2 linked regions of the Oryzias latipes genome follow. Each later gene encodes a partner of the first gene's protein in a complex. Links are inferred from orthologs where the notes say so. Each region holds a gene or a part of one and is shown on either strand. Other genes may lie near its edges.

The links.
Region 2: vps39 (region 1) and vps41 share a complex: the UniProt entries of both Homo sapiens proteins name them as parts of the homotypic fusion and vacuole protein sorting (HOPS) complex. The link is inferred for Oryzias latipes from reciprocal best matches to the Homo sapiens genes VPS39 and VPS41.

What each region holds. Positions count from the first base shown.
Region 1 is NC_019880.2:24,625,794-24,637,149, forward strand, and holds the start of vps39 (vam6/Vps39-like protein), read right to left. Parts: upstream 6,995-11,356; 5' UTR 6,637-6,994; coding exon 6,564-6,636; intron 6,012-6,563; coding exon 5,946-6,011; intron 5,854-5,945; coding exon 5,789-5,853; intron 5,701-5,788; coding exon 5,658-5,700; intron 5,539-5,657; coding exon 5,444-5,538; intron 4,274-5,443; coding exon 4,175-4,273; intron 4,106-4,174; coding exon 4,013-4,105; intron 3,677-4,012; coding exon 3,493-3,676; intron 2,736-3,492; coding exon 2,615-2,735; intron 1-2,614. UniProt on the Homo sapiens protein: Regulator of TGF-beta/activin signaling, inhibiting SMAD3- and activating SMAD2-dependent transcription.
Region 2 is NC_019878.2:20,691,516-20,702,693, forward strand, and holds the start of vps41 (vacuolar protein sorting-associated protein 41 homolog), read right to left. Parts: upstream 6,238-11,178; 5' UTR 6,055-6,237; coding exon 6,034-6,054; intron 5,791-6,033; coding exon 5,752-5,790; intron 932-5,751; coding exon 824-931; intron 1-823. UniProt on the Homo sapiens protein: Plays a role in vesicle-mediated protein trafficking to lysosomal compartments including the endocytic membrane transport and autophagic pathways. Acts as a component of the HOPS endosomal tethering complex.

The sequences.
Region 1 (11,356 bases):
TGAAAATAAAACCTAAACATTCGATGCCTGTTTACATATCACTACAGCAGGGGGGGGGGTCAAACTCACTGAGGGCCACATCAGCATAGTGTCTGTCCTGAAAGGGCCAGATATAATTTATACATGTAACTAAATGTAGTGAATAATAAATATACCCACTCCTTAATGTTAAATAACTAATTATTTATTTATTATAACTTTTTAAAGTGACAATTACAGTTGCATATAAAACATATGTTTGCTTGTTACTCAGTGTTTAAGCCCAATCCGATATTTCAAGTCAGATTCCCCCTGGATATGAAGAAATACACACCAATTTTTATTTTTTATTTTAAGAGATTACAAACTTTTATGCTGTCGTGGGCCACATAAAATGACATGGAGGGCCACATTTGGCCTGCAGGCCTTGAGTTTGACACCTGCACTACAGGGTCCACTCTGGGGTACAGCTACAAAATATCTGTGTAATCTGTAAGCTTTTAATGCCAATATAAAATTTAGCTCAAGTAAACTAAAGGACAACAAGAACATAAGCAGTCAAAAGGAGCTCCAACGACCCATAAGAGCCCCAACAACCAGCAGGAGCCCCAACGACCCGCAGGAGCCCCAACGACCCGCAAGAGCCCCAACAACCAGCAGGAGCCCCAACGACCCGCAGGAGCCCCAACGACCCGCAAGAGCCCCAACAACCAGCAGGAGCCCCAACGACCAGCAGGAGCCCCAACGACCCGCAGGAGCCCCAACGACCCGCAGGAGCCCCAACGACCAGCTGGAGCCCCAACGACCAGCTGGAGCCCCAACGACCCGCAGGAGCCCCAACGACCCGCAAGAGCCCCAACGACCCGCAAGAGCCCCAACGACCCGCAAGAGCCCCAACGACCAGCAGGAGCCCCAACGACCAGCAGGAGCCCCAACGACCAGCAGGAGCCCCAACGACCCGCAGGAGCCCCAACGACCAGCAGGAACCCCAACGACCCGCAAGAGCCCCAAAGACCCGCAAGAGCCCCAACAACCAGCAGGAGCCCCAACGACCAGCAGGAGCCCCAACGACCCGTAAGAGCCCCAACGACCCGCAGGAGCCCCAACGACCAGCAGGAGCCCCAACGACCAGCAGGAGCCCCAACGACCCGCAGGAGCCCCAACGACCCGCAAGAGCCCCAACGACCCGCAAGAGCCCCAACAACCAGCAGGAGCCCCAACGACCAGCAGGAGCCCCAACGACCAGCAGGAGCCCCAACGACCAGCAGGAGCCCCAACGACCCGCAGGAGCCCCAACGACCAGCAGGAACCCCAACGACCCGCAAGAGCCCCAAAGACCCGCAAGAGCCCCAACAACCAGCAGGAGCCCCAACGACCAGCAGGAGCCCCAACGACCCGTAAGAGCCCCAACGACCCGCAGGAGCCCCAACGACCAGCAGGAGCCCCAACGACCCGTAAGAGCCCCAACGACCCGTAAGAGCTCCAACGACCCGTAAGAGCCCCAAAGACCAGCAGGAGCCCCAACGACCAGCAGGAGCCCCAACGACCCGCAAGAGCCCCAACAACCAGCAGGAGCCCCAACGACCAGCAGGAGCCCCAATGACCCGTAAGAGCCCCAACGACCCGCAGGAGCCCCAACGACCAGCAGGAGCCCCAACGACCCGCAGGAGCCCCAACGACCCGCAAGAGCTCCAACGACCCGTAAGAGCCCCAAAGACCAGCAGGAGCCCCAACGACCAGCAGGAGCCCCAACGACCCGTAAGAGCCCCAACGACCAGCAGGAGCCCCAACGACCCGCAGGAGCCCCAACGACCCGCAGGAGCCCCAACGACCCGCAGGAGCCCCAACGACCCGCAAGAGCCCCAACGACCCGTAAGAGCCCCAACGACCAGCAGGAGCCCCAACGACCAGCAGGAGCCCCAACGACCACCAGGAGCCCCAACGACCCGCAGGAGCCCCAACGACCCGCAGGAGCCCCAACGACCCGTAAGAGCCCCAAAGACCAGCAGGAGCCCCAACTGTCCATAGGATTTCCAACATTCCCGCAGGAGCCCCAACGACCCGTAAGAGCCCCAACGACCAGCAGGAGCCCCAACGACCAGCAGGAGCCCCAACGACCCGCAGGAGCCCCAACGACCCGCAAGAGCCCCAACGACCCGTAAGAGCCCCAACGACCAGCAGGAGCCCCAACGACCAGCAGGAGCCCCAACGACCAGCAGGAGCCCCAACGACCAGCAGGAGCCCCAACGACCCGTAAGAGCCCCAAAGACCAGCAGGAGCCCCAACTGTCCATAGGATTTCCAACATTCCCGCAGGAGCTACTTCTATGCGGCCCAACTTCATCACAGTTCTGGCCCTTTTTTGCCGTCTATAGTTACTCTGTCTATCCATGGGAACTGTAAGGGCGGTCTGCACGTTCTCATCCTATTCTGATTTATATTTGATTTAGTCATTGAAATGGGGGCGTGGTCACTGATTGACATGTGGCCATCTAATGAACAGAACCCCTTACTGGCTGTTTTACTGTCACGATTCCTACAGGTTTCATTCAAGATCTTTTCTAAAAAAAAATGGCATTAAAGTTAGTCCAAAACAAAGCATCAGGTACTACAACCACACGGTTCATCCATCTCACCCCGCCGAGGTGATGAAGCGCGGTCGCTGCAGCTCCACGCTCTGCACCAGCAGCCTCGGCTCAACGGTTCGTATCTCCACGTATCGAGGAAGAACGGCGATGATGTAAGGGGGCTGGTGCTCTGTGAACAGAAATAAAAGCTGCTGCAGCACAAGGCTTTTCTGAAGCGGAACGTCTCAGAGCACAGAGACGGTGAACGGGAACGTGGTACGGGGCAGAACGTGAGCAGAACCATCCGGATCCAGCAGGGACCACTAAGGACTGACTGCTGGGAGGAGGACGGTGAGAGTTTAAGGTTTAGTTTTCCTTTAACGGAACATTCATGGGGGCTGCAGCTCCATGGTCACGATGTTTGTGTCGCAGCTGCTGCTCTCTGCCCTACAAAATGATTTGATTTGAAACGTTCTGGTCTTCTGCATGAAACCTGCACTTCCTCCTGCTCACTTCTGCTTCCTGCCGAGCTCAGACACATCTGGCCAGCAGCTGTGATCCCACCCGGTACCAGAACAGGATCTAAACTGAGCTTCATCTCAGCTCAATCAACAGCCTAAAACACAGAGAGACGCAGAAAACTGGAGCTCAACACTTAACAGTTTCGTTCACGTGAACAAACCTGATGTTAGTTGATCAATAAAGGTCAAAGTTCATGATCAAACAGTGAGAAACAGACTTTAAAATAAATGGATGAATGGGAGAGTTCAAGGAGAAAGAAAATGCAAAAAGAACACACAAACTATTGGACTATGCTTCTGGAAGGAGAGTGTCCAAAAACAGTTTCACAGTCAGACATGGAAGTGGGAGTGTGATGGTGTGGTGAGAACTCTGGTTTGGCAGCAGATCAAAAAAAACAAAGAAAAGTCTAAAACGCCTTTACTTACCCATGGCGATGGGGATATCTGTCCAGTTTAGGGCGCACTTCTGCGTGCAAACTCCTTCCTCGTTCAGAACAACAGTGAGGTCATCCTGACCCACCGCCACTTTCCCATCAGCCAGTGGGGCAACCAGAGGCTCCAGCTGCTTCCCGGTGGGGAAAAGCTCCTTGATGGAGCCTCTGCCATCGAGCTGATCGACAGGAGAGACAGCAGGAGTCCAAAAGGATCCGTCAGAACCACATCAGGACACACCTCAAGACAAACGGTAGAACTTAACTCAGGAAGTCAAAACCCAGAGAACGGTTTTAGAAAAAAACGACAGTAATCGCTGAGACTTTTTACACTAAAACTGGAGATTCTTTTTCAATGTTTATGGTCTTTTACCATCACCACCTGATCATTGGATTCATGACTGTCGTGTTTTGTGAGTGAAACCCAACAAAATCCTCCGTTTTGCTCGGATGACACTTGGGCTCAGACTGTGGACGTCTCTGCCGGGTGTTGAGGATGGGTCTGTCCCACGTACCCGGATGAGGTAATAGTCCCGTTTGAAGCCCACACATATGGAGTTTTCGCACCACGCCATGGATTTGGGAATGTCCGGAACGCCCAGGTCTCCCTGGAAGATGAAGCCGGGCGTGAGCCGAGCGCTCCTCGGTGGTCCCGCTCAAGGCCGACCTGGTCTCACCTGCAGCTCGTGGAACTCCCGGTCCTTCCAGTAGAACAGCTGGAGCTTCTTCTTGACCGCCACGCACATTCGGAGCCGCTCCTCCCCCGAGGCGGCGAGCTGAAAGAGCCACAGAGACGGAACTGCTCAACATGAGCCGACCTTCAACCGGCTGGTCTGGCGGTCAGACGGTGAAGCGCTTCATCACGGGTTTGAGAAAAAAGGAAGAATAATATTTCTCTTTTAAACGGAAAAGGAAGAAGGTCTGAAGCATTTCTGTTCTGCAGTGAGTTACCCAGACAGAAGACGTAATCTGATCAGATAATCTGAATAGAGATCATTCAGATTGTTCAGATGTGTGGTGCTTTAATCACGCAGAAGCACTGCAGTGAAAAGGACATTTTTGTAGCATTTTTTTGATGATGGAGGACACATACAGAAAATTAACCTGTAACTTTTCTGAGTATTTCTTTATTCAAATCGCTTTGAATCAGGAGCAGACGAAAAAATGCTGGTTTGAGAAGAAAAAAAAAGGGACAGAAAAAATATGCTGGGTGGGCCACAAAAGCTCTCAGAGGGGAAAGAGGGGGCGGGGTTGCTTAGCGCTGACAGCTGCTGAGAACTGGACTGAGTGATGTCACCCAGAGAGAACACTCCCTTCTGGCTCCAATGACATGAAGCCAGTTCAACCGCCATTTTATCGCATCTGTTGGAGCCAGACGGCATAAGTGAGCAGTGATTGGGACAAGTCGGTTTGAGTCCTCCTTCCTATGGCAACCACTCCCACCAATCAGGAGTAAGCTGGTAGGACGGCCACACCCCTACTTTTTGAGAGTGGGCCACACAAAAATCTGTCAAACGTTGGATGCAAAACCGCCAAGTTTTATTGAGGCGTCTGATTGGTCAGTTTATAACTGGAATAACTTGAACTACAGAAAAAAATATCCTGAAAAAAATTATGATTATTAAGAACAAGTAAAAAAAAAAAAAGTTATGAGAGCAATAGTTATTCTGGCCATTAGAATAATAGAAGATTAGCTGTTTGTTTCTCTATAGAGGTCTAAGGGATTCTGGCTCCTTCCTGTTTGGAACGCCAGGAGGGAGGGGTCACTCGGTCCAGTTCTCATATATAGTCAACAGGTCCCGCCCACAACTCAGAGGTGAATTTCTAATGAACTCCTGCTGCTCTGCTGAATCTATATCCAAGAAAAACACACCCTTTTAAAAAAAATGTAGCCTAAAAACAGCATCATGATGATTAGAAGACCGCTGTGAAAAGGAAGGACTGACCTGCAGGTCGCAGGTGAACAGCGTGGCTCCTTTGGCTTTGGACACCACGGTGATCTGCTGGAAGGTCAGGAGGTCATGAACGTGGATGTTGTTCTCTGCAGGAGAGAGGCGAGCCGGGTGTTGAGCTCATGAGCAGAAGGACTAAACTGTGAGTAGAACTAAGGTCTAATGTCTTGATGGTGTTGGAATGGAGCTGTGACAGCAGAGAACTTACCCAGAAGGCTGACCAGGATTTTGTACTGAGAGACCACATAAAGCTGGAAGCATCACAAAGTTAGACCAGTTAGAAACATCCAAAAATCACATTTAAACATTGAAAGTGAAAGTTAGGTCACAAAGTGAAACCTGCTGGATCTTCTTTGAAAAGTTCTTATTGGACTTTTCCAAAGTGACTTCAAAGCGGTTGGTTCCTGAGGGGGGGAAAAAAAGGGGAGGAGCTTCCTTTAAAAGCCGGTGGGACTCCAGCAGGGATCAGGGGCTCACAGGCGGGCGTCCGACCTACCAGCATCTTTCTTGATCCGGTACAGGAGGAGATGTCCTGGTTTTGTTCCTACGAGCAGCCCGTCCTCTGAGGGAACACAAACCCGCTCAAACCGGGCCAAAGCCACAGAAAACTCCTCCACAACAACAAATGCTGGACGGCTGGTCCTCAGAGCTCAGACACTAAATGTTTCTAAAGCTGGATCTTAAAAAAGAATCACTGCAAAGGAGGTTTAATATGTTTACAATAAATGTATTTCCGATCTGTAAGACCCAAATGTATTCAGTTATTTAGAGCAGAGGATGACTGCCTCAGTCCATTTGATTTAAATCACAAGTTGATGATTCTTGGATTGAAAATTAGTTGTTTTTTTCTTTGAAAATCAATTTTTCTTGTTTATAAACTAAAGAGTTTTCTCATAAAATACGATTTCAACTGAAGAAACTTTATTAGATCTAAATGTCCACATTGGTTTGTTTCATTTTTTTAACTTAACAGTAGTTTAAACCTGTTTGTCGAACAGAAAGTTTGTGCTCATCGAGCTGGAGGACTCGGAGACTGTCCTGGTCGGGATTCGAACCCCTGACCAGAACATCCCACTAAACAAAAGCCCCTAAAAGCCCTGGGGGGCTGACTCACCCCAGGCGGCGAGACAGTCGATCTGGAGGGGGAGTTTTTCCAGAATGGGCAGGGACTCGTAGGCGTCATGCATCCTGAAGTCAACAGACCCCCCCGTGAGCCTCCTGTGGGTCAGTCACGGCGGTCGGCTGCAGACAACGTCCATTCACGGAAAAACCCGAACTCAGCGTCAATTTCCCGAAGTTTCTCTTCTGTTTTTACGGGGGAATAAAGCTAATCATTAGCTGCTAGCTCAATTAGCAACTGCGAGGACACAGAAATAAAAGCGAGCTAAAGCAGTCCGCAACTTTATCGAGGAGACATAATTCCTGCGAAAAACCCACAAAAGGGCGGAAAAAACTCCGAATCCGCGGAGAAATTTACAGTTTGTGTTCACTTCTCCGTACTTCCTGAGTGCGCCTGCGCGGTGCAGGGGGCACCTGACTGTCACGTGAGCGGCTGGGCGATCCCGAGGAACTCATTAAAGGCGCAGAAGCCTGGTTCAAGAAGACATTTAGAACATGTGTGACCATTTTATTCCTACTTAGATCCAAAGAGCGGTTTTATCGTCGTGGACAAAAACTACTAAACATTAAATACACGAGAATTTTAAAAACAAAACAAAAAAAAAACATGAAGAAATTAAAAGATAACCAAGAGGAGAAAAACGCAAGAAAACACAGAGAGAAGTTGCTAAAAAAGTGAAACATTACTCTTAGAAATAATTTTATTAATAAATTGAGTATAAGTATACTTTAGTAAAGATGATGCATGTGTAGTGTCAGAGGTATACTATCTGAAAACATCTTCAGACTTAACTGGAACATTTTAAGTTGAATATAGAATAAGTATCCTGCCTCACTTTAATATTGATGGATTTGTGTGGATCATTCAAGAAAATGATGAGTTCAAAAGAAAACAAATCCTTTCAAGTTTCTGCCCGGAGGTGGCTGGTAATACGTTGGATTTACTCACATTCATGGGAGTATAATTCAAATAATGCATCAAACTTTTACATACGTGGATACATTTTTTTAAATAGACATGACTACTTTAACCCAACTACACTGGACTTACAGCTTCTATTTAGCATTAAATATGGAGTTAGTGACGCTGTCATTCCACACAGGCACTGAGGTTTTGCACAATCAAATTAAATCAACGTTTATTTAAAAATGACCTTTTCATGCTTAACATGGTTTGGTGTGTGAAAAAACACAGCCGTGTCTGATAATAGAAGAACCTAAGATGTCAGTTATCAATACAGACACTATGAACTTTATTGAACTATTTCTGTAATGAATTTGATAAATCTGTGGGAGTTTTTATATAATGACTACAACTAGTGCTTGAAATAAAACAAATCCAATCTTCTATTGTCCACTTTTGGTGAGTCTGTGTGAATTGTAGCCTCAGATTCCTGTTCTTAGCTTTCAGGGGTGACACACAGTGTGGTCTTCTGCTGCTGTAACCCATCTGCCTTAAGTGTTGTGCGTTCAGAGCTGCTCTCCTGCAGACCTCGGTTAGAACCAGTGGTTTTTGGAGTTCCTGTTGTCTTTCTATCAGCTGGAACCAGTCTAGCCGTTCTCCTCTGACATCAACAAGGCATTTCCGTCCACACTTGTTGCTCACAGGATATTTCCTCTTTTTTGGACCGTTCTCTGTAAATCCTAGAGATGGTTGTGGGTGAAAATCCTAGTAGACCAGCAGTCTCTGAAATCCTCAGACCAGCCTGTCTGGGACCAACAACCACGTCACGTTCAAAGTCACTTCAATCCCCTCTCTTCCTCATACTGATGCTCGGTTTCATCGTCTGGATCATGTCTGCATGCCTGAATGTACAGAGTTGCTGCCATCTGATTGGCTGATTAGAAATTTGAGTAAACAAGCAATCAGACGTGTAAATATGTGTATGTATTGTACAAAAGAATATAAGAAATAAAGTTTCTTTGGATGCATTTGACTGTGTTTAGAATTCTCTAGTTATTCTATGATTTCATTTAACATTTACTGTATCATAAAAATGATGGAGCTGATACCGAACTGCACAGCTCTGTATCCAAACAGATCATCCACAATAAGGAAACAAAAACCATTGACAGGTATTTGCTCTGTAGAAATTTTATTGGCAGAACATATTTAGTCATCAACATCGTGATTCCAAAGGACAACTCAAACCAACATCAAAGGAAATCTTCCTCCATGAAAAAAATAATTTTCAACAATTTTCCCTTAAAGATAAATAAATGCAGATTCATGAAAGCCCAACCAAATAACTTAAGATGTGAAATTTCCTCAAAGACCTGGTGCCGTGTCACACTAACGTGAGGAATCCGTACCAACGGGTTTGTTTGTTTGTTTTTTACAGCTCAATGTTCAGGTTCAGGAAATGGATTTAGACTGTAATTAAGAGGAAGCAGCAACCCTTTTCCGGACCAGCAACCCTGTTCCAGAGCAGCTCTGTGTGCAGATCTAAGAAAAAGACCCAGTCTTACGCTGCGTTCACACCCAACACAGTTCGCAGGCGGATTGTTTCGATGTTAGGTCAATGGTACAGACGCCATCTGAGGTCTTGTGGCTCGATTTGAGTGACAGGCGCGGTGACAAGGTCTCGCAGAAATGCAAATCGGGCTGCGGCCGCGGTGGGCCTGAGTTAAAAAAAAAAATCTGAAATCTAGGAATGTCACCTCATACCAGCAACCAATCAGAGACTCAACCCTGGACACGAGACGGTTTCAGTGACGGCCCTTTTGGGGCAGCGGGGTTTCTGGAACCCGTCCTGGCTACTGTTGGGCGAAGGCGGGATAAGATGGCTGCTGACTCTGGAAAGTATACAGTTTTGGTTCTTTTGGACTTATCCTCTGCATTTGACACTGTTGATCATAAAATACTGTTGGGCAGATTAGAAAATGAGTTTGGTATTGCTGGGTTTGTTTTAAAGTGGTTTACCTCCTACTTGACTAATAGAACATTCTCTGTCTACATAAATGCCATGCTTTCTGATACCGCTCCACTCCTACATGGTGTGCCCCAGGGATCTGTTTTAGGACCTCTTTTGTTTTTAATGTACATCTACCCTCTTGGAAAGCTTTTGAATAACTTTAAAAATGTGTCATACCATTTCTATGCCGATGATATTCAGCTGTACTGCTCTTTCAATGACACAGAACTCCACAAACTTACAGAACTACTAGATTGCCTTGCTTGTGTTAAATCTTGGCTCACAAGTAACAGTCTTCAGCTAAACCCAGAAAAGACAGAAACACTAATAGTTGCCCCAGAAAACAAAATCCCGATAATTTCCCGGCATCTTGGTTCTTTGAGCTCCTCTGTACAGCCCTGTATCAGAAATCTTGGTGTATGGTTTGACCAGTCAATGTCTTTGGACCATCATTCCAGCCTTTTAATTAGAAACTGTTTTTATCATTTACGTAACATAGCAAAATTGCGGGCGTTCTTATCTAACTCAGTCTTAGAGATGGTTATCCATGCTTTTATTTCTTCTCATTTAGATTATTGTAATTCTCTTTTCACTTGTTTTAATAAATCTGTTCTTAACCGTCTTCAGTTAGTTCAAAACACTGCTGCAAGGCTTTTAACAGGATCAGACAAAAGGGCACACATTACTCCCATTTTATCCTCCTTGCACTGGCTCCCAATCAAGTGGCGTATTGATTTTAAAATTCTAGTTTTAACCTTTAGAGCTTTAAATGGACAGACCCCAAAATACTTATCAGACTTGCTCTGTCCCTACGCTTCCAGCCGTGCCCTCCGATCCTCAGATCAAAATCTTTTAAAGATTTTTAAGACAAAGTACAAAACCAGAAGTGACCGGTCGTTCCAGGGAATAGCCCCCAGACTCTGGAATGCCCTCCCTCTGTCCCTTCGTGTGGCCGACACCGTCGATTCTTTTAAAAGTCAACTGAAGACACTTTTATTCAAAAATGCTTTTAGCTGACTGGTTTTATTTTATGTTTATTTTTCTTCAATTTAGTTTTGCTTACATTATATTTAATTGATTGTTTTTCTGCTTTTACTGGGTTGTAAATTGTTTATTGTTCAGCGCTTTGTGATTTTATCTGTGAAAGGCGCTATATAAATAAAACTTACTTACTTACCTAGCCAGGCTGTCCCAAGACCTGTGGGGCTGGAGCGACTGATCTCCCAGGGGGCCAGCTGGCAGCCAAACAGAGAGCTCAACGTGAACCCTGAACTCTAGGATACTTTACTTGTTTTCATGGAGACATTAATAAAAAAAGGTCCCCTGATTTTATTCTGGTTTTTAGTTTTTCCCTCTCGGGTTCATGCAAGTCTGTAAACTCGGTCAGAAAGAGACGGAAAGACCGCAGAAGCCGCCGTCTTTCAGATACAGCAGCAGGAGAGAATCTGCATGATCCCAAACATGGAGACGCAATTAATCTGCTCAAAATAAATGAACCTGATCTCTCAACATCATCCGTGTTTTCTATGCACTGTAGGCAAGATAAACACAGACAGCGCTCAGGCTAAAAACGTTAGCTGAAGCTCCGCATACATGCGGCCACGGCGGCGAGCTCATGAACGTGGCGAGTTTAAGCTCGCAGCGCGGCAAAGGAGAGAGGTGGCCGACGCATGTTTGAATGGCGTTGGGTGTGAACGCAGCTTCAGTCAGCAGAAAGATTCAGTCGTTCAGCGACGTCTCCTGAATTCTGTCGGAACTTGAAGTTTGAGACCATTTCATGAAATGTGAATTTGTCTTTTTAAAGCTTTCACAAAAATAAAGTTTGAAACTGAGTTTTTACATTCAAGACTAAAAGAGAAACTGTTTCCCCTCA
Region 2 (11,178 bases), on another chromosome or scaffold:
TGAAATGCTTATATTTACAGGCACAGCTGAGCATGTCAGACAGAGCCCCTGCAATCTTCCAAATAAAATAACCCAAAAATAAATAAATAAAAGGTTCAACCTTGTGAGGCGGAGCGACTTTTAAAAGGATTTATCAGGATGGAATTGTTCAAATGAAATTCCGATTCAGACACTTAAAATATGAGGCAACATAAGGCAATATGTGCTCCCGGTGATTTAAGGTTGCGGGAGTTTTGTCACGGCGGAGGGGGCTGGTGTGACCACATCTGAATGGCTGAAGGTGCACAACAACGGAGAAAAGAAAAATTAAAAATGTTCTCGGATCGCTCATCTTTCAGCTGAGGCCCGTTCTGAAGGGAAAAAGAAAAGGGGGAGCAGATTTACACAAAACAAATAAATAAATGAAAATCAGCTGCAGTTAATAAAACATCAGGTGAGGAGACGTAACTGGGTATGACTTTCGCTCTACCCAGGCGTGCAAGTGTGCTGCCGGTGCCACGACGATTAAGCATCTCGCAGAGGAGTGTGCCTCTTAAACATATCAACATTCAGCAAATGGGAAAGGAGTGAAAAATATGTAGGAGTGGGAATAAAAAGAGGAAAAGACAATAGTGGCTTTTGATGCACCTCCCTGAGAGGAAAAGCAGAGGAAGGTGAGAAAAGAATGGGCTGCCTTTGCAGATTGAGCAGCAGGGATGAAAACCAACTTTGAAGATGACATCTCTCAAATGCACACATAAACAAAGGGAAATCTTTGGCTGAAATGATTGGACTTGAAACTGAAAAGCCCCGGCGGGCGTGGGGGGGGGATTATCACCTTTACCTTGTCGTGGACGGTCATGCAGCTGGCTGCGTCATTCTTAAGGATGTCTGTCACCCCGTTGGAGAGCCTCTCGTACTTTAACTTGGCCTCCTCCTCACTGTCCTCCTCCTGGTTCGGAGAGGGAAATGGGCTTTCACTCAACACTTTCTTAAAGGTAGTCATTTACACACAGCCACTTCACAGAAGTTACAAAAGACACTTTCAAAGACGTCCGTGCAGTGTGTTGAAATATGCAAAAAGTTCTCTTCCTGTTGGTTTCAAACTGATGTGACATATGAAGTTTTAGACCCCTTTCTCTAAATGCTTATTTCAAATATTACATAAAGACATGACTTTGAATGCTTCAGAAATTAAAAACCCAGTTTGAACTAATATCAATGCAAAAGGCAATTAGAAAAGATTTTAAAAGGTGTTCATCTTTTCTATTTCTACCAAGAAAAACAAGATGGAAACACCGATTCCACAAAAAAAGCATCAGAAGATCCTTTTTCTTCACTTAATAAACCTAAACTGCATACTTTATGAATTTAAGATCCACACCTAAGGAAATATTGTCTTTATTAATATGTCCATAACACGGACTTCTCAGCTCATATAAGCCAACTAAACAACTCCAATTAATCTGATGATGGCAGACAGATATAAAGAAAATTCAGCTCAAAATTGCATTTCTGAGTATTTCTTTATTCAAAATTGTTGTGAATCAGGAGCAGACAAAAAAATGCAGTCTGATAAAGATTGCATCTGCAACATAAAATACACAGGACTCAGCTCCCTGCTCCACAACGGGGAGGGGAAAGGGGGCGGGGTTTGCTATGCGCCAAGGGCCCTAACCCACAACCAAGAGACCAATTTCTAATGAACTCACCCCGCAGAAACTATATCCTGGAAAACGGCGCAGGTTTTAAGATTGTGGCTAAAAAGGAATAATCATCTTCAAAAGATTGCAGAGAAAACTTTTAAAATAAATCAAGAAGGGGATCCGATTGGATCATTAAAGCCTATTTTTAATTATTTCAACTTGTGTCAATGAGGCAAAAAAGAAATAGAATACATTTTAAAAGATGTTTAAATGTTGTTTTTCCACAAATAAAACTGGATGGCATCACTAATTCCACAAAAAAGCATCAGCAGATCCTTTTTTTTTTTGCTAAACAAACTTCTTCTTCCTCTTTCGGCTTCTCCCATCAGGGGTCGCCACAGTGAACAAGTCGCATGGTAAACTTGGCAATGTTTTACACCGGACGCCGTTCCTGACGCAACCTTCTCAAACCGGGCTTGGGACCGGCACAGAGGAAGAGAAGGGAACAGGGAGCAGCCCGGAGTTGAACCCTGGTTTCACGGTTGGAAGGCGCCGCAAACCAGCACGAGCTAAACCGGCTCCCTTTTTGCTAAACAAACTAAAACTGCGAAATTTGTAAAAGTACGATCCAAGCCTGACATATTGAAATAAACAATTTCTATGAAGTGTATCACTTTATAAGCAGCAGGCAGTGAATAAAACCGATATTAGGAGATTAAATAAATTAACAAATAGATTTAAAAAATGTGATGTCAAAGAGCAAAGCAGCACAAATGTATGGACTGGAAGCATTTAATATATTAAAGATACAAATTTTTTTTTTACTTATTTAATATTCCTGTTATTAAAATACTATGCCATAATATTCTCAAGGGGATTTTTGCTACATTTTTTTGTCCTTTTACCTCCTAAAACAACATAAAAAAAGTGGAAAATCTAAAGGTAGAAGGCAAAGATAAGAAGGGAAAACAGACTATGAGAAAGACTACTGGTTAAAAAATGTAAACTTAAAACAATACGATGCTCATACTATGGTACATGCGTGTTACTGACCTTTATGTTCATTTAAAGCTTAAATATACCTTTTTAATTAAAATAACTGGTATTATCTGGTGTTATTTGGATTCATACCTTTATATGCTATTGGCTAAATAAAATGAGTTCTGTCATTGTATCAAGAAAGAGTATTTCTGCATAGAACCAATCTATTTTGAGAAGTGTTTACATGTATATGTGTAGGAGATACCCAAAAAAGGGACAAATTTTCATTACCTTGCATGAAAGGCCTAAAACAACAATTTTTCATCTTTTCTCAATGCCGTTTATCCCCAGTGAGACGCGTGAATTTATTGTTTTCATAAAGCAAACTTAAAGTATTCTACTGTGTTACACTTTCCAGCATGAGTCAACATTTGCAGCCAGTCACAGCCTGAATATTACTCATAATTCGGTTTATAACCAATACTGCACAGTCTGTGGCTGCCCAGAGGGTGCATCAACTCAAAACATTGTCTGCCATTATGTGCTACTGGGTTGGAGGTGGGGGACAATAGCGTGGAAAAAATGTTATTTTCAAAAACAATCCTTTCCCACTCAACAACGCCATATCTAGGCTATTTCCTGTGTATTCTGGTTGTGAGATTTCTGATGCGAGGGCATTTGTCACGGATTTCAAAGGCGTATCAAACAACAAAGGCAAACTTCATCCCCACAGAGAAAATCCCCATTTTAAAACTTTTCCCATCTCTTGTAAGTTGCCCTTTGTTTTCTCCACTGCCACACTGGCCTTTATCTTGAAGCCATTTATGCCATTTTTCTTGCCTATTGACAGTTTAAATACAACAGGTTGAACTATTCAGTCGGACTGCATCAAGGATAACATTCTGCAGAGCGCACAGAGACGACGCCGGTTGTCGCCATCTAGCAGGATAAGAAAAATAGGAATGTCCACTTCAACAAAAGCTTTTAAAACAAACGCGAATGAAAATTATGCTACACTAACGCAGCTGCCTTTGAGTTATACATGATGGCTATCCTTCAGAAGATACAAAGGACTTAATTCAATTTGAAAGGAAAATTAAAATCCCTTCAGCTATGAGGTTAACATCTTCAGTTCAATAGTTTTCTAATAATGACTGCCAACCTTTCTATTCAATTCAATTCAATTTTATTTGTATAGCCCAAATTCACAACAACAGTCGTCTCAATGGGCTCCGTATCGGTAATTGCAAAAGTGAAACATGAACTCAAAAGGATCATAAATACATAGAGTTCAATAGGAAAATACTAAAATGAACTAACAAACTGACTAAGCTATACTGGCATCCCTGCCCTTAGACCTTTTAGGAAAAACTCCTTAAAAAAAACGGATTCCGGAAAAAACAGAGAAACCTCAGGGGTCCCCACATGAAGGAGGGATCCTCCCCCAGGACGGATAGGCGATTTACCAGAACTCTTAGAGAAGAATTAACTTATCTAACTCTACAACCACATATATAAAGTCCAGCAGACGAGCTTCATCCAGCCGGAGTTGCTTTTTAAGTAATTTGCCCCTCATTTTGCAAGTGAATGGAAAAGCTTTGATCTGTAAAGGTTTTTTGTTGTAAATACATACTTAAAGGTGTGAGTTCTATAGAGAAAGCTGGATGCTGAGTGTGAGCATTTTTTTGAATGAATTTTAAAGAAAATAGTTTAATCAAACCAAATATTTTTGACTTTAACTGGTGTGTTATAGAATTTTTCCTTATTTTGTTTTTTTTTAAATAAAGATATATTTGCTTGTAGTACTGTACATGCAACATATAAGGTGAACTGGTCAATAACCTGAACAGCGCTGGGACCAGTAACAAATGTTACTATACACTCACTGGCCACTTTTTTAGGCACATCTGTCCAACGGCAAATCAGCCAATCACATGGCAGCACATCAATGCATTTAGACATATGTAGACATGGCTGCAGTCTAAACCAAACTGGGAAGAAAGGGGATTTAAGTGACTTTGAACAAGACATGGTGGTTGGTGCCAGACAAGCTGGTCTGAATATTTCAGAAACTGCTGATCTTCTGGGATTTTTACCCACAACTATCTCTAGGGTTTACAGAGAATGGTCCAAAAAAACAAAAAGAGATCCAGTGAGCAGTTCTGTGGGCAGAAATGCCTTGTTGGTGCCAGAGGTCAGAAGAGAATGGCCAGACTGATTCTAGCTGATAGAAAGGCAACAGGGTTCCAACTGAGGTCTGCAGAAGAGCATCTCTGAACACACAACACGTCCAACCTTGAGGCAGATGGGCTACAGCAGCAGAAGACCACACCGGGTTTCACTCATGTCAGGTAAGAACAGGAAACTGTCTGAGGCTACAACTCACACAGGCTCACCAAAACGTGACACTAGAAGATTGGAGAAACGTTGCCTGGGCTGAATAATTCTCCATTCCTGCGGCGACAATTGGATGGTAGGGTCAGAATTTGGCGTCAAAGCGGGAATCAATCCTGCCTTGTATCAACAGTTATGGCTGGTGGTGGTGTAATGGTGTGGGGAATATTTTTTTTGGACCCACAGTACCATTCTAGCATGGATACAAAGCCACAACGCTGAGTATTGTTGCTAACCATGTACATGCCTTTATGACTACATCTTCCAATGGCTACTTCCAGCAGGATAAGGCGCCCTTTCATAAAGGTGGAATCATCTCAGACTGGTTTCTTGAACATGACAATGAGGACTCTGTCCTGAAACAGCCTCCAAAAAGAATGTCAAAAATATAGACATTTTGTTTTCTAAAAGATTTATACATGTGTTTTTCACCCAACTTTTTTATGTGAGAATTCTGAAGATTCAAAGCAGCCCTTCTCTGAAATGTGTTAATTTATTTCTATTCTTAAAATGAAAAGGAAAGAATGTAGTCCTGTCCTGCTGTGATTGGCAGCTAATGCTTGTCTACCATAAACTTAAAGTAAGCTTCTTTATAACTTTGCAACACTTAAAAAATACTTCCACGTTCAAGTTGTTAAAAACAAAAACAAAAAGAAAAGAAGAAAACAGGAAATTGAAGCAGCGTTTAAGTTAAGTAAATAAAATAAGGAAAAAAAAACGGCACAAAATAATACAATTCTAAGCTTCTTACCTCAGACTCATCAGTACATTCCTCGCTTGGCTTTTTATCCTTAAAGAAGAATCACAATCAAAATGTTTGATCTTTAAATTCTCTAGTTTGAAAAATAAATAACAAGATCATTAAAACTAAAACAACCCCAAACCTTCGTTAAAATAAATTTTACACGAATTGTAGGTAACAATCAAAATCAGAATAAAAATCTCATAAATATTAACAAAACATTTGTCATTCTTTAAAAAAAACACGTATAAAACGATCATAAGCTAGCTAGCTTTAGCATGCTATCCTCACCTTTTCTTGCACTTCCGCCATTATGGTTCCAATAGCGATAAATTCCGAAAGCAGATGTTTTTGATCAGTGTCAATTGCAGAAACACATATTAAATTACGCACACAAACTATGTTTGTGGCAAAAGCACGTATAATAAGGCAGTAGAATGCGATGTTTACTGACGGAGCAGTCTTGTTGCTCACATGAATCACTGAATCACATGACTAATGCAAAAACCGCGAGGCAATCTGGGTATTGTAGTCAAACGTAACAGCGTTTGTTTCAAGCAAGGAGTTGAAGACGTCTGCTGCCAAAACGAGTGCAGCTGAAGTAGGTAGCATTAAAATAGTTTTATATGTTTCAAGTTCTCAGTTACCGAATATTGTCAGCCTTATAAGTTTAAAATTACTAATACTGAAAAAAAGGAGTTCTGGATAAAAATGTTCTGTCCGAGCTCAAAACACGTGTTAGGAATATAGTTTAATATACAATTATAAAAGCAAAAGTAGTCGTATTATATTATATTATATTGCTTTTTGTGCCTTATATGTAGGTCAAAAATAATTTTAATTTATTCTTTAAGCTTTTATGAGAACACATTTTTGACACAAGCCCATTGGCCCATTTGGTAGTTGCGGAAAAAAAAGAACAAAACAATAAGTAAACACAGTAAATATCATATTTCATATCCTATTTTCCGAAGAGAAACAGAGGATACAGGAAAGTAGGGAATATAGAGACATTTTTCATTCAATAGATGTGCCACATCATGTACTCCTACCTTATATGGAAGGAATAAATGGCTTTTTAAATGGTTAACATTAAATTACTGAAAAATATAAGACAGTTAAATTGCTTTACATTAAAAAAAACCTTTCCATTTCTGCTTAATCCATTTTAAGGATGTTTTGGGGTCTTTTGTTAAAAGCTAGGGAAAAGACGATACACGTTTAATCTAACTACTCATTTGTTGTGTACATTTGCAGACTTTTTCAACGTTAAAGTGCGCTCTTTTGTCACAATACTGACATTTCATAGTTCAGATGGATTCCAAAGGTTTGAGTTCCTTCTTTTTTATTGAGATTGTCTCACACCTCCGTCCTGCTTCATTCATCCTCAGGAGAATCCTAATGCACTGATACCAAACGGGGATCTCTTTTTTTTCTTTCTTTACAATCTGCTTACCAATGATTTATTGATTGCGGCTTCCACCCTCACAGAGAATTACCGATCCTTTTTGGGAAATCAGATTTTCACACCTTTCACTGGTGTGTATGTGGTCCAGGTCTCCAGAGACGGTGAAAGGGGGAAACTGACTTTGAGGAGCAGCTGTGTGTGAATCTCTGTGGTGTCACTCTGCTGCCAATGGTGCATCTAGCGGAAGGCCTCTGATTCTCCACATCTCTACACTTCCCTCTTTATAGTGCTGCATTATTTAGTGGTGGATAAATACGGCTTGGGCTTAATTCTATACGTGTCCATTCCCTTTGAAACCATTAAAACGCGGTCCACTAACCCTACAATCTTAAGCAAGCATGAGCTGCACTAAGATATAAGCATCTCATAGACAAAAAAAAAAGGCAAAATTACACAAACAACTCTTGCTTGCGTACGTGGAGCAAGATTAGTGCACCAGAAGCTTTGATGCTTGAGAATGTCAGCTCTGTGGATCGATTTAGCCAAAAACACACACACACCTGACCAATCAGAGGCTCTTGTCTGTTGTGGACCTGCTGCTGGGCACCATGGTTTACAAGCTTCAAAGAGCTCCTTTTAATACACTGCTTTGATAGCCTTCAGCCCTCACTGACCCACCGACCGTCCACTGGGGAGCATTTTAGCTTTAGCAGAGAGGAGAGGTAGGACTGTTGATCATATCAACAAGCTCAGGGAAAAAAATATATATATCTTTTTTAAGTTTTGCCTCAGCTTGCATTCACTTTTAAAAATTTACTTACACTAAATTTACTGCTTCACATAAAAGAGTAGAATAATTTGAAAAGAAAATAGGATTTTGTGATGCTTTCGTATGAGGAAAATGATTTATTTCTTTTAGAAAGATAACAGTTTGAGTTATAACCCTAAGGGGGAGACAAATTATTATCCAACAAACTACATTAGACATCCGTATCTCAGGGTGATCACTCAGTGCAACTAATTAATAAACATACATCATTTCATTGCTTTGAGATTATCCGTATTGGACTGTTGGATGAAAGGCTTATTGATGTAGTAGCAGATGCTCAGTAGTGACCTTTTAATCAGTCATTAAGTTTATCTTAAGGATTTTTTATGAAACCTGTAATTGAATATCCTTTAGCATAACATTTAAGTAAGTAGTGATGATATGCACGATTATACATAGCGTTCTCTTGTGCTAATCTACTCTTGTATTCTCATAATTTTTAAAAAATACACAGGAGTTTCAAAAATTCGAAGTCAAGAAGCTTTCAAATTCCAAAACTGCTATATTACATCGAAGTATAGAAAATATTTATATCACTTTTTATCGTAGTCCACTCTTTTATTGTAGGCCAGCTCAGTGGCCTTGTGGTTATAGAGTGTCTGCCCAGTAACTGGAAGGCCATGGGTTCAAACCCAAGACCTTAAAAATGGGACCCAATGCCTCCCAGCTTGACACTCAGCATTAAGGGGTTGGATTGGGGGGTTAAGCCACCAAATGGTTCCCAAGCACAGCTGTGTCCGCAGATCACCGCTCCCCCAGGGGATGGGTCAAATGTGGAGAACAAATTTCACACACCTAGATGTGTGACAGACAGTCAGACTTTATGGCACTAAAAAAGGTCTTACTGAGCTTCAGATTATTGCACTAATTACTAATAAAAGATAAACAAAACACAATAACGTAAAAAAAACTATGATTTATTAGTTTGTGCTAATTTTAGGCATTTTTTATGATTTAACAGTGGTCATTTTCATGGAAAAACCAATTACTTTAAATGTAACTTTTCTTATGTTTGAATAAGATATTTATTTTAAATAAACCAAATTAAATTTAACTATAATATTCATTTTAACATTTTAATTTTAAATACACAATTCATGATTTTGTTAAAATCTTTCTATCTGGAATAACCATTCAAATGTATGTATTTATTCTTATTTAAGAGACTGAACTCCAAAAACCTTTGGGACAGACTTATTGTTTCTAAAACCCTTTTTTTCTAATGGTCACAGGTTGAATTCCCTTAACCACAGGTGAAACCAGCAGCTCTTAGCATGCATATGTGATGACTCTCTCTCCACTAACCGCTGTTTGCCTGTCCACCAGGGGTATTAGGTGAGCGGGAGGCATTGGGGAGGGTGCAGCAAGAGCTTTTTCTCATTTTTGCAACCTTCCTGAGATGGGGTCAGTAAGACATCAGCACACAAACTTGTAATAATCTAAAAGAACTAATCACAAAAAGCCTGGTAAGGACAATAAACAAAAAATCTAATTTCTATAATCCTGTTTGCTTTTCTTGCTCTTTTTTATATATTTTAGCATGAGGTTGGTTAACTCAGAGTCTATTTTACAGCTATATTAAATAATAATAGAGGTGATGCAATGGCAGATAGGCAAAGTTTGCTTTTTGAAGCAATTATCAGCTGTGTAAAACGGTGAGGGATGTGTTTCCCTGCTATCCTGGAGCTTCAGAGGCCAGAGCAAGATTAGAGCTCTGATCTCATTCCCAGCACTTGTTTGGAGTCTGTCAGGAAGAGAAATGCCGGCATTAGAGAGGTACCGCCACACTCCTGATATGATGAAATAAGGAGAAAAGGGGAAAGGGAAAAAGATGGAGGGATGGACAGAAAGGACCCTGCCCTTCTCTGAAGGTTCACCAGCTTGTTTATTTCTATTTTTCATCGTAGCTGCTGGGGCAAAGATTCCCATTTTTTTCTTTACCCCCCCCCCCCCCCCCCTTCCCTCCTCCCGACAAAAAACACTGCTCTCATTTTTTATAGGTCTTACAAACTCTCATGCCCCAGTGAAAATTACATTGTGAAACGGTGGAAATTTCAGGGCTGCCTGTGCTCTCCGCTGTCCCTCTGAGCTTTCAAACAGTCAACAGACTGTGAAGAATAAATAATAAAAAACTATTGATTATTTTGATGACTGCAAGATTCAATTAGGTATTAATTTTGCCCTCCAGTGGACCTATCAAGCAGCTCAAAAGCAGGGGAGGTGGGAGGAGAGAGGTGAACCCAAATGAATGCAGAGTGTGGCCGAGCTCAGACAGAAGGGAAATGTGTTTACCTCGGCGGGCAGAGAGATGCATCGATGCGCGGTGTCCCACATTTAAGTGCCCCACAAATGAAACCATGATGACTAGTGACATTGTTACCAGGGATATGACTATTGACCAGTTGGGCCGAGTTTTTTAACGACAGCTTAAACTACTCCTATTGATTAACATTTTCATAGATTATCACGTGTCATATCAGAGGGGGCATATTCCTGTGATGGGCACATTAAGGCCCCTCTGGGTAGAAGTTCATCGACCACAATGATGGACAAAGGGGGGGCTGTGGAAGGGTGAGGGGCCAATAACAGCACCCCCTCCTCTATTCTCTTTTCTTTATGTACGCACCGGTCACCTGTCCTCTGCTAAGACATATTTAGGATGGAGCAGATTCATAAATAAAGAAGAGGGCCGTGGAGCCTGAGGTGGGGCGAACGCTGTCTGAGGAGCTTCTCAGGGGGAAGAGACAGAGTGAGGAGCGGGCGGGAGAGAAAGAAGAAGGAGGAGGTGACATCTTTAGGGTTCGGAGGCAACCTCAGGCTTGAACCTGACTTTGCCATTCAGACGCAGGGAGGTTGATGCAGGAGGAAGAATGCAGTAGCTGAACGGGGGGCTGACATGTTTTAGCGTCCGTTTGACTGATTTCAACGTCTGGACTTCCTGAAAACTCCCTTTTACTGCTTTTCCTTCAGGAGCTTTTCAAGGTAGGAAGCATTCTTACCAATAAAGTCTGCTAATAAGGGGGGGAACGATGAACCGATGAATTGATTTATATTCCTACGATCCAACCAGATCAATCTGTGGGAGGCAAGTTGTTAATAGAATTGACCTATACCGTTATGGAACTGTTTCAAAATGAAGTAAAATGACTATATCGATATTGGAAAATACCATATGGATGGTATGGATTGAGGAACAGTT